2 linked regions of the Oryzias latipes genome follow. The protein of the gene in region 1 purifies or fractionates together with the protein of each later gene. This does not show direct contact. Links are inferred from orthologs where the notes say so. Each region holds a gene or a part of one and is shown in the gene's direction. Other genes may lie near its edges. The genes, in order: ppih and sart3.

What was found.
Region 2: the proteins of ppih (region 1) and sart3 purify together in Homo sapiens (affinity purification with mass spectrometry; 3 studies listed by BioGRID and IntAct, with this or other methods). This does not show direct contact. The link is inferred for Oryzias latipes from reciprocal best matches to the Homo sapiens genes PPIH and SART3.

The regions. Positions count from the first base shown.
Region 1 is NC_019865.2:7,790,728-7,794,543, forward strand, and holds the end of ppih (peptidyl-prolyl cis-trans isomerase H), read left to right. Parts: intron 1-1,226; coding exon 1,227-1,269; intron 1,270-1,945; coding exon 1,946-2,038; intron 2,039-2,205; coding exon 2,206-2,293; intron 2,294-2,379; coding exon 2,380-2,420; intron 2,421-3,373; coding exon 3,374-3,442; 3' UTR 3,443-3,611; downstream 3,612-3,816. UniProt on the Homo sapiens protein: PPIase that catalyzes the cis-trans isomerization of proline imidic peptide bonds in oligopeptides and may therefore assist protein folding. Participates in pre-mRNA splicing.
Region 2 is NC_019867.2:12,885,824-12,890,378, reverse strand, and holds the start of sart3 (squamous cell carcinoma antigen recognized by T-cells 3), read left to right. Parts: upstream 1-1,645; 5' UTR 1,646-1,884; coding exon 1,885-2,085; intron 2,086-2,821; coding exon 2,822-2,948; intron 2,949-3,050; coding exon 3,051-3,155; intron 3,156-3,241; coding exon 3,242-3,426; intron 3,427-3,592; coding exon 3,593-3,698; intron 3,699-3,820; coding exon 3,821-3,945; intron 3,946-4,033; coding exon 4,034-4,189; intron 4,190-4,373; coding exon 4,374-4,512; intron 4,513-4,555. Other genes in the region: iscu (iron-sulfur cluster assembly enzyme ISCU, mitochondrial), read right to left, coding at 210-298, 715-793, 874-984, 1,061-1,174, 1,342-1,443. UniProt on the Homo sapiens protein: U6 snRNP-binding protein that functions as a recycling factor of the splicing machinery. Promotes the initial reassembly of U4 and U6 snRNPs following their ejection from the spliceosome during its maturation.

The DNA.
Region 1 (3,816 bases):
TTGTGGGAACAGTTTGGAGAGCCCCCCTTCCTCTTCCAACATGACTGTGGACAAAGCAAGGCCCATAAAGACATGGATGACAGAGTCTGTTGTGGAAGACTTTTACTGGCCTGTACAGAGTCCTGACCTGAACCCGATAGAACAACATTAGTGTGTGACCTCATCAATGCACTTTTGGAAGAATGGTCAAACACACTCCTTACTTAACCTTGTGGACAGCTTTCCCAGAAGAGTTGAAACTGTAATAGTTGCAAAAGGTGGACCTTTTCATATTCAGTGCAAAAACAATATTTGGCAGGAGGGAAAAAAGGCAGTGAACTAAGCATGCTTTCAGATGTGTAAATAATAATTGTTTATTTCCATAAATTTAAAAAATGTTAAATCAGTGAGCAATAGAAAAGTCCAAATCAAATTGGTGTTGGTACTTTTTCCCTCCAAATCAGCATCAAATCTTCAAGGTGCGCTTAACACAGAGTCGGGGATTTTGTAGGATTGTAGAAAACAGCTGTGTAGTAGAAGGCTTAAAACTGTGGGAAGAACAACCAAATTCTGATTCAAGTTTAAAGTAATAACATTTCTTGTCAGGTTTATCTAACCAAATTCTATCTAAATCACCAAGTCTAAACCAAAAAAGGAGGATTGTTTTAAGTCACCCAGACGGCCCGTGTTTGACTTGATCGTAAAAGAAAATGGGGACCAGTTTAGTGTCTGAGATCAGTCCAGGAGATAGAAACCTGCCAGCACTGGAGGCTCTCTTTTAGTTGGGACTCAGCAGTTAAAATGGATAAGAGAGGATAAGATGGGATGCACTTCAAGAATCACAAAGAAAAGCTTAGTTTCTTTCCACTGCCGACATCAAGGCAACTGTGATGAGACAAAAAAAATAGAAAAATACCACAACTAATTAGAAAGACTTGCACCGTACACAGAAACAAAGTGCTTTGTCTTTATAGCTTTGAAAGCTAACTTTTGTGACTCAAAGGCTAAGACGGATCAACAGTTGTGTGCGTAGATCTTCAGTGTACGTTTCTGTCTAATGTCGTGCCTATAATTTTACAATTTATTTCTCAAATAGAATTTTTCTTGACTGGATTGTAACAAAAAATGTTTCAAATATCAGGTCTGACTATCTTTAGTTTTAAGTAAGTTTGCAGGTCACAGCGAATGTTTTTATATTTCTATTGACCCCCCCCCCCCCCCCCCCCTCAACCTTTGTCCCATGGCAGAGTCATCAAGGACTTCATGATACAAGGAGGAGACTTTGTCAATGTAAGTACGCTAACGTCTCGACATCTCTCTTAGGCTGGACAAAAGTAAAAGTTAGATCATGTTAATCATTTGTGTGTTTGCTGGCGTTTGTGTGTTTGCTGGCGTTCGAGTGTTTAATCTCTTTGAGGTTTGGACGTCATTCAACTGTTGAAGCTTTTTCTTCTGTCATTAGCCTGTTTTTTAATAGATCTTGATTTTTCAATGCAGACACACCCTGTCTAACTCTTGCAGGTATACAACACTTCTGAAATAAACCCAATTTAAAATACTCATAAAACTTACAGATGACTTTTACAGGTGAACTAGTACCATTAAATACAGGCTGATGTTGTAGTTTATAAATGCAAAATAAAAGACAGGTTTTTTTATGTCTTGTATTACAATAAATCATAAACTCATGCAGGAGAATGAAAACACAACACAAAGGTTAAGCATCATATGTGCAAGAAATAGAAATTCAAAACCAGATCTAGATGCAGAACTAACCAAAAATGTGAACTGAAACATCTCAGTTTGAGTAGCTTCTCTTTTCCTCATCATTAAGCTATGTTCAGGACATAACCAATTAAATGTTGCTCTGAAATCTAATGATGGCAGGAAAGGAAAGCTTTCTCCCTCTTGTGGTTGAAAGCTGAATTACATCTCAAGAGCTCTGCTGAGAATAGTTGTTCTGCAGGGGGATGGAACCGGCGTCTGCAGTATCTACAGAGGACCTTTTGCAGATGAAAACTTCAAGCACAAGCACTCTGCTCCTGGTCTTCTTTCTATGGTAGGTTTGCAAAGGAATTCACATTTACAGAGTGAGACATCTTCATCAGGCAAAGAGGTTGCCCTGTGAATATTTTGGATGTCTTGTTATTATACATGACATCAGATTCGACTGGATTGAAACATTTTTTGTTTTGTTTTTATTTTTACTATTCACTTCTCTCACAGGCTAACAGTGGTCCTGGGACAAATGGTTGCCAGTTCTTCCTAACCTGCACGAAATGTGACTGGTTAGATGGGAAACATGTTGTTTTTGGTAAATAAGTCGTTATTAAGATAAGAGCGCTTTTTGTTTTCTTCTTCTGTGTGTGATTAAAATTCTTAAATTTGTTTCTGTTTCAGGAAAAGTGGTGGATGGTTTGCTGATCATGAGAAAAATTGAGGTAAAGATGAACCTTTATTGACTATGTTTAAAATGTTTAACAACCAAAAGGGAACAAAGTTGGGCAGCTGGGCTTTGTTTCCAGCAAAGTGTATAGAAAAAAAATTGAAGGGTTCCTGCTAAAAGATCTTTGGTTACCCCGTAAGGAGGTGGTGGGATACTGTTGTTGGGTAGAATTTCCAGCTAATAACCCTTAACATCTTAAAACCGTTGTGATGGTCATAAACTAAAACTTAATTAAAAGTGGGGGCCAAGTAAAGCAAGAAATTTATGTCAATATAGCCCAAAAACCCCAGAACATAATTATTAGGGGGGGGGGAATCAGATTTAAAAGTTTGTACAGGTCTAATCTGAATTTAAATCCAATTGAAATGATATGGTTAATCCTTAAGAGAGCTGTATGTTTGCAAATCTCCTCATAAACATAAAAGATGTGATAATGTGTTATAATAATGTACACGTAAGGGAAAAAAGCTGTTGTTTTGAAGTTATATTTATCTTATACTAAAACCTAATGTATGTTTTTTTTTTTAAATCAAGCATTTTAAAACAGAGAAAGCAGGAAATTTTCCTGGAGTCAGAAATAAGTAACAGTTAATAATTCTTTAAAACCTTAAGACAAATAAAAGAAATTAGAAATTTGGACTTTAATTTCGTAACTACTGTTTGATCCTTTTAGAACTTATTTCTTAAATAGAATTTTTCTTGACTTGATTGTAACAAAAAATGGTTAAAATCTCAGAGGCAGGTCTGACTATCTTTATTTTAAAGTAAGTTTGCAGGTCACAGGGGATGTTTTAGTATTTCTATTGATTTTTTTTCCCCCCTGGTACCAAAACTTATGATCTTTAACCGTGTTTTGAGTATAAAACCTGAAAGGTTTGGGAAAATGGGCTGCAAATTCAATCTGTTATTAATCTGGTTATTCTGAAATGTTCTTCTTTCTTCAAACAGAATGTTCCCACAGGACCCAACAACAAGCCAAAACTCCCAATCCTCATCGCTCAATGTGGAGAAATGTAATTTGTTTGAAGAAGTTCTGGTAAACGTCATCTTAAACTCCATGATTTAGTTCTTGTAGCATCCAAAGTGTAAACATTTTCTAAATTTTCTTCTCGGTCCTTAGACAATAATTGTTGGCTCCCACACTGTTATCATGAGGAACAAATAAAATTGTTTTTTTTACTAAAAATGTTGCATTTTCCCCTCCATATTTTTACATGTTGTTGGTCATTCCACAAAAGTTAGATTACATTGCTTTAAGTGTGCATTTAAAATATGTAAATTTATGCAAAAGAAACATTTTTTAGTATTTTTTAACAAGCCATATTTTCTAATAGTTTTGATTCCAATTTTTTTATTGGAAAAAAATTTGCTTTTGTGTTTTCCATGTTTCT
Region 2 (4,555 bases), on another chromosome or scaffold:
AATGACCTTCCCACATTTGATACAATCCGACCAAAAATAGAGGCCAAAGTGTAATTGTCCAGGTCATAAAACAAAAATCACAGCTGCAAAATAGCATCATGTGGCGCATGAGTCCTCCAAAAAGGGTGTGATGCTCTCGATATTTCTGTGAAGGATTTTTTTCTTCAGATCAAGGATATCTCTTTCACCAGGATGAACGTGGAAAAGAATTAACTGCTGGCTTTGGCGTGTTCCTCTTTCTTGTCCTGTTTGATTTTGTAGTCTGAGAGCGCTGCTTTTATGGCATCTTCTGCAAGCACTGAAAAGGAAAAAGTGAAAGGACACGGCACAAATTTAATGCAATAACAGCAGGAATTCCGATTTTGATGATTGTTTCTCTATTTATTTTGTAACACTAAGAGTAAATAACGAATAACACTCATATAAAAGATCTATTTACAATGTAACATGCAGTTTTGCTGAAATGGGGTTAAATATGAAATTAATTTAGTGGATTTGGAGAACTCAGGAAGTTGTACTTTTTTCTCCTCCTTTGTGTTGTCCAAAAACAAGTGTCCACACAAAAAAATAATTTTAATACAAATAAATCCTAAAACAGGCAATCAGTTGTGTCACACTTTGTGTAATGTGATTTCAATGCAGCAATTGTGTGTATTCTACCATTAAATGTATCATCTACAAGGCAGGCAGCTCGAATAGGAAAATCAAACTTACTGGAACAATGAAGCTTGACTGGAGGGAGGCACAGTTCTTTGGCAATGTCTGAATTTTTAATCTTCATAGCTTCATCCAGCTACAGGATTTTAAAAAGTATGTTATTATGATCCTTAGATAAAACAAACAAACTTTTCGGAGCCTTTTTTCGTAACTCACCGACTTCCCCTTCACCCACTCTGTTGCTAGGGAGCTGGAGGCTATAGCCGACCCACAGCCGAATGTTTTAAACTTTGCATCCACTATTTTTCCATTTTCATCAACTTGAATCTAGGATCAATATTAAAGTAAATTAATAATGTATAAAAATCTGAAATATAACGTGTTTGGCCAAATTCAAGCTTACCTGGAGTTTCATTACGTCACCACAGGCTGGTGCACCTACCAAACCTGTCCCCACACTTTTGGAGTTTTTGTCCAAAGATCCCACGTTTCTCGGGTTTTCATAATGGTCAACCACCTTCGAAAAAAATTAAAAATATATATAATACGGGGTAGGTTACAGAGACACAAATAGCATGTCGCATGCATTAGCTTGTTCAGTTCAGCCACACCAACTACCGTTTTCGCAAAACTGGCAACTTTGTTTAAAATAAAAGCCGTGTATTTGTGCATTCAATGTTTTACCTTTTTGTGGTATGAGCAAAGTGACTTTAACTCCGGTCTAAATAGCCTGCTGCAAAACAAGGAAGGCAAGGACGCACAGTTTCGTACACTGATCATCGCCATGTTCACATTGCCGATTGTGAACGATGAATGCCGAGTGAACACGAGAGGTGCCGAACGCTGTTTGCTGATAAACATGGTGGACTTCGTGTTAACATGTCGAAAAAGCTCCATCTAGCGGTTGAAGTGGTAATTGCCAAACTTGCTTCTTTTTTTATGTGGCTCAGTGTTTTATTGAACCAGTCACCGTCAGTGTCACTGGCATGGAGACACACTTTTGTCCCGCTCATATTTTTGTAGTTATCCCCGTTCCAATTGCTCCCAATGACCGCAACTGTAAATTGTTTCTTAAGTTAGTTTGTCCACTCACGCACTCCGTAATCCTAATATTTTGAGGCACGAGCATAGCGTGAACGCGCACGTCTTTCACCGTTGGGACGGGGCGGGTTTTCAATAAGAATTGGCTGCTCAGGCTGCTGTTGCCAGGCAGACAGTATTTCCAACATGGCAGCGCCAGCTAACGCAGAACAAACGCAGTTGCAAGATATGGAGGAGGACGGAGCAAAGGTGGAAGAGAGGGAGATGGATTCAGACGAAGAGGAGGACGAAGAGGGCATGCGTGTCGAAAACTCAGACGAAGAAGAGGACGATTCTTCGGAAGACGAAAAAGAAAATGAAGCCGAAATCCAGCGGTTGGAAGAACAGGTATTGACATCATCAAGCAGTCATGCTTTAGCCGAGGTGCTAATATCAATGAATGAATCGCAAAGCCTATACCAAGAAGCAGTTATAAAACGACTCACTCATCAGCATAGTTAACTCTTCTTGACAAATAAATAAATATCATTTTTGTTAGCGAATCACACATGAAACGTTTACGATGTTTATATGGCAATCCTGCTCATTCCTGCTAACTGGTTAAGCTAGCAGTTATCGCGCCTTTTTATCCTTTCGGGATATTGTCATCATTACTCTTCTTGACTTTTAAAGAACAAACTGAGGGGTAGCCTGCACTGTATTCTGTACATTTGTCCTGTTTAGTATATAGTGAAAATAATGTTTATATTGTGCTAAGGAAAGGGTTAAATGATTCCTTTATCTGTACCCACTTAAGATTGCTTACTTAGACTGCACAGTTTGTAGTGTTTACTTTGTCTTTAGCTGTGTCCAAGACGGTCTTTGGGTTTATAACCTTTGACCTTTTGCTTATAATAAGGAGAACTTGGCTCATGTGTTTTTTTTTCTTTTAATACACAATAAAGAGGAATTAATTGGTAAACATTTGACAGCAAAGTTTTGACCGCTTGCTATTGGAGTCTTGCTTTATTTTTTTCTCTTTACAGTACTATGCAATAATAAGGTTACATAGCTTATAGAAGCTGCCTTATATTTTGATAATGTATTGCTACCAAATAATATTTTTTTCTGTGCTCATCCTCAGCTGTCTATCAACGCCTTCGACTACAACTGCCACGTGGATCTCATCAAACTGCTGAAACAAGAGGGAGAACTTATCCGTCTGCGAAAAGCAAGACAGAAGATGAGCGAACTTTTCCCTCTTACTGAAGGTTAGGTTATGTCTAACGCAGTTCCAGCACAGACAGAATACTAGCACTGCATTGTTTGTGACAGATATGTAAACGCCTCCTTTTTTGTTTCAAATTCTGCAGAAATCTGGCTGGACTGGCTCAAAGATGAGATTCGTCTGACAGAAGAAGAGTCAAACAGAGAAAAAGTCTATGAGTTGTTTGAAAGAGCCATCAAAGACTACATCTGTCAGTGCACCATGTTATTGTCATTTCCTTTAATCCAATGTTCAGTTATTAGATTGCCTTAATGTCTTTTGTTTTTTTTAACACAGGTCCAGAAATTTGGCTTGAATATGCCCAGTACTCAATTGGGGGTATGGGCTCACCAGGTGGGATAGACAAGGTGAGATCCATCTTTGAGAGGGCAGTGACAGCTGTGGGGCTTCACATGACAAAAGGACAGTCAGTGTGGGAGGCATACAGAGAGTTTGAGAACGCCATTCTGTCCACATTGCAGGTTTGTGTTTACTTTTTTTTTTGTCTCTTCAGACTCAAAATCTGGGTTTAAATTTCAAAGATGCTTTACTTAAAGATAAAAAAGTCTGCATCTTTAAACAAACAACTATAGTGTTTGACAGATTGGGCCAAATTTCATCTTTTTTTGTTTTGTAATCTTCTGTCAGCCTCCCCCTGGCAAAGTTCCCAGGAATGAGGAACAGGAGCTGATAAAAACCCAGCTTGAAAGAATTCACACACTGTTTCGCCGTCAGCTGGCCATCCCCTTAATGGGTAAGCAGCCAGATAAAATTCAAAATCTGAATCAGTGTTGCTATTTAAGTGTACCTTTTTTAGATGTCACCAGATTAAAATAGTTCTAATCTGTAAACCTTTGGACTTGTGTGCTTTTGTAGACATGGAAGCTACTTATGCAGAGTATGAAGAGTGGTCTGAGCATGGAGTGCCTGAGGCCGTCGCGCATCAGTACAAAAAAGCGTTGCAGCAGATGGAGAAGTGCAAACCCCTTGAAGAGGCTCTGGTAGCTGACCTGCACACATTTGGTTTTGAATCTGTCTTGAGCGACTTTTTTCTAGTTGTTAACATCTTCTTGCATCCGTCTGCTGCAGCTGGTGGCCGAACCTCCTAAACTGGCTGAATATCAGGCCTACATTGACTTTGAATTGAAGGTGGGGGACCCAGCACGGATCCAGATTACCTTTGAAAGAGCTCTGGCAGAGAACTGCTTGGTTCCAGACATGTGGTCTAAATGCACCAAGTATCTTGTGAGTATTGATTATTGTTCAGTCTATAAAGAATGAAATTTTTGCTATGTATTTGTTTTAGTTCAGCTGCCTGTTTCTGTTTATTTAGCATTTTAGTAAATTGGCCAATTAAGAAAGAAAAATGAAAACATAATTAAAAAAAAAGTGTTGCTTAGATTTTTGTCTTTTATTTTTGATCTTTTAGGATCGCCAGCTGAAGGTTAAAGACTTGGTTCTGTCCACTCATGAGCGGGCTGTTAGGAACTGCCCCTGGACCATGAGTCTGTGGAAGAGCTACCTGCTGGCTTTAGAGAGGCATGGAGCAGACCATCACACTGTGTCAGGTACCAGTTTGATTACCTGTGACATTTACCACATGTGTGATGA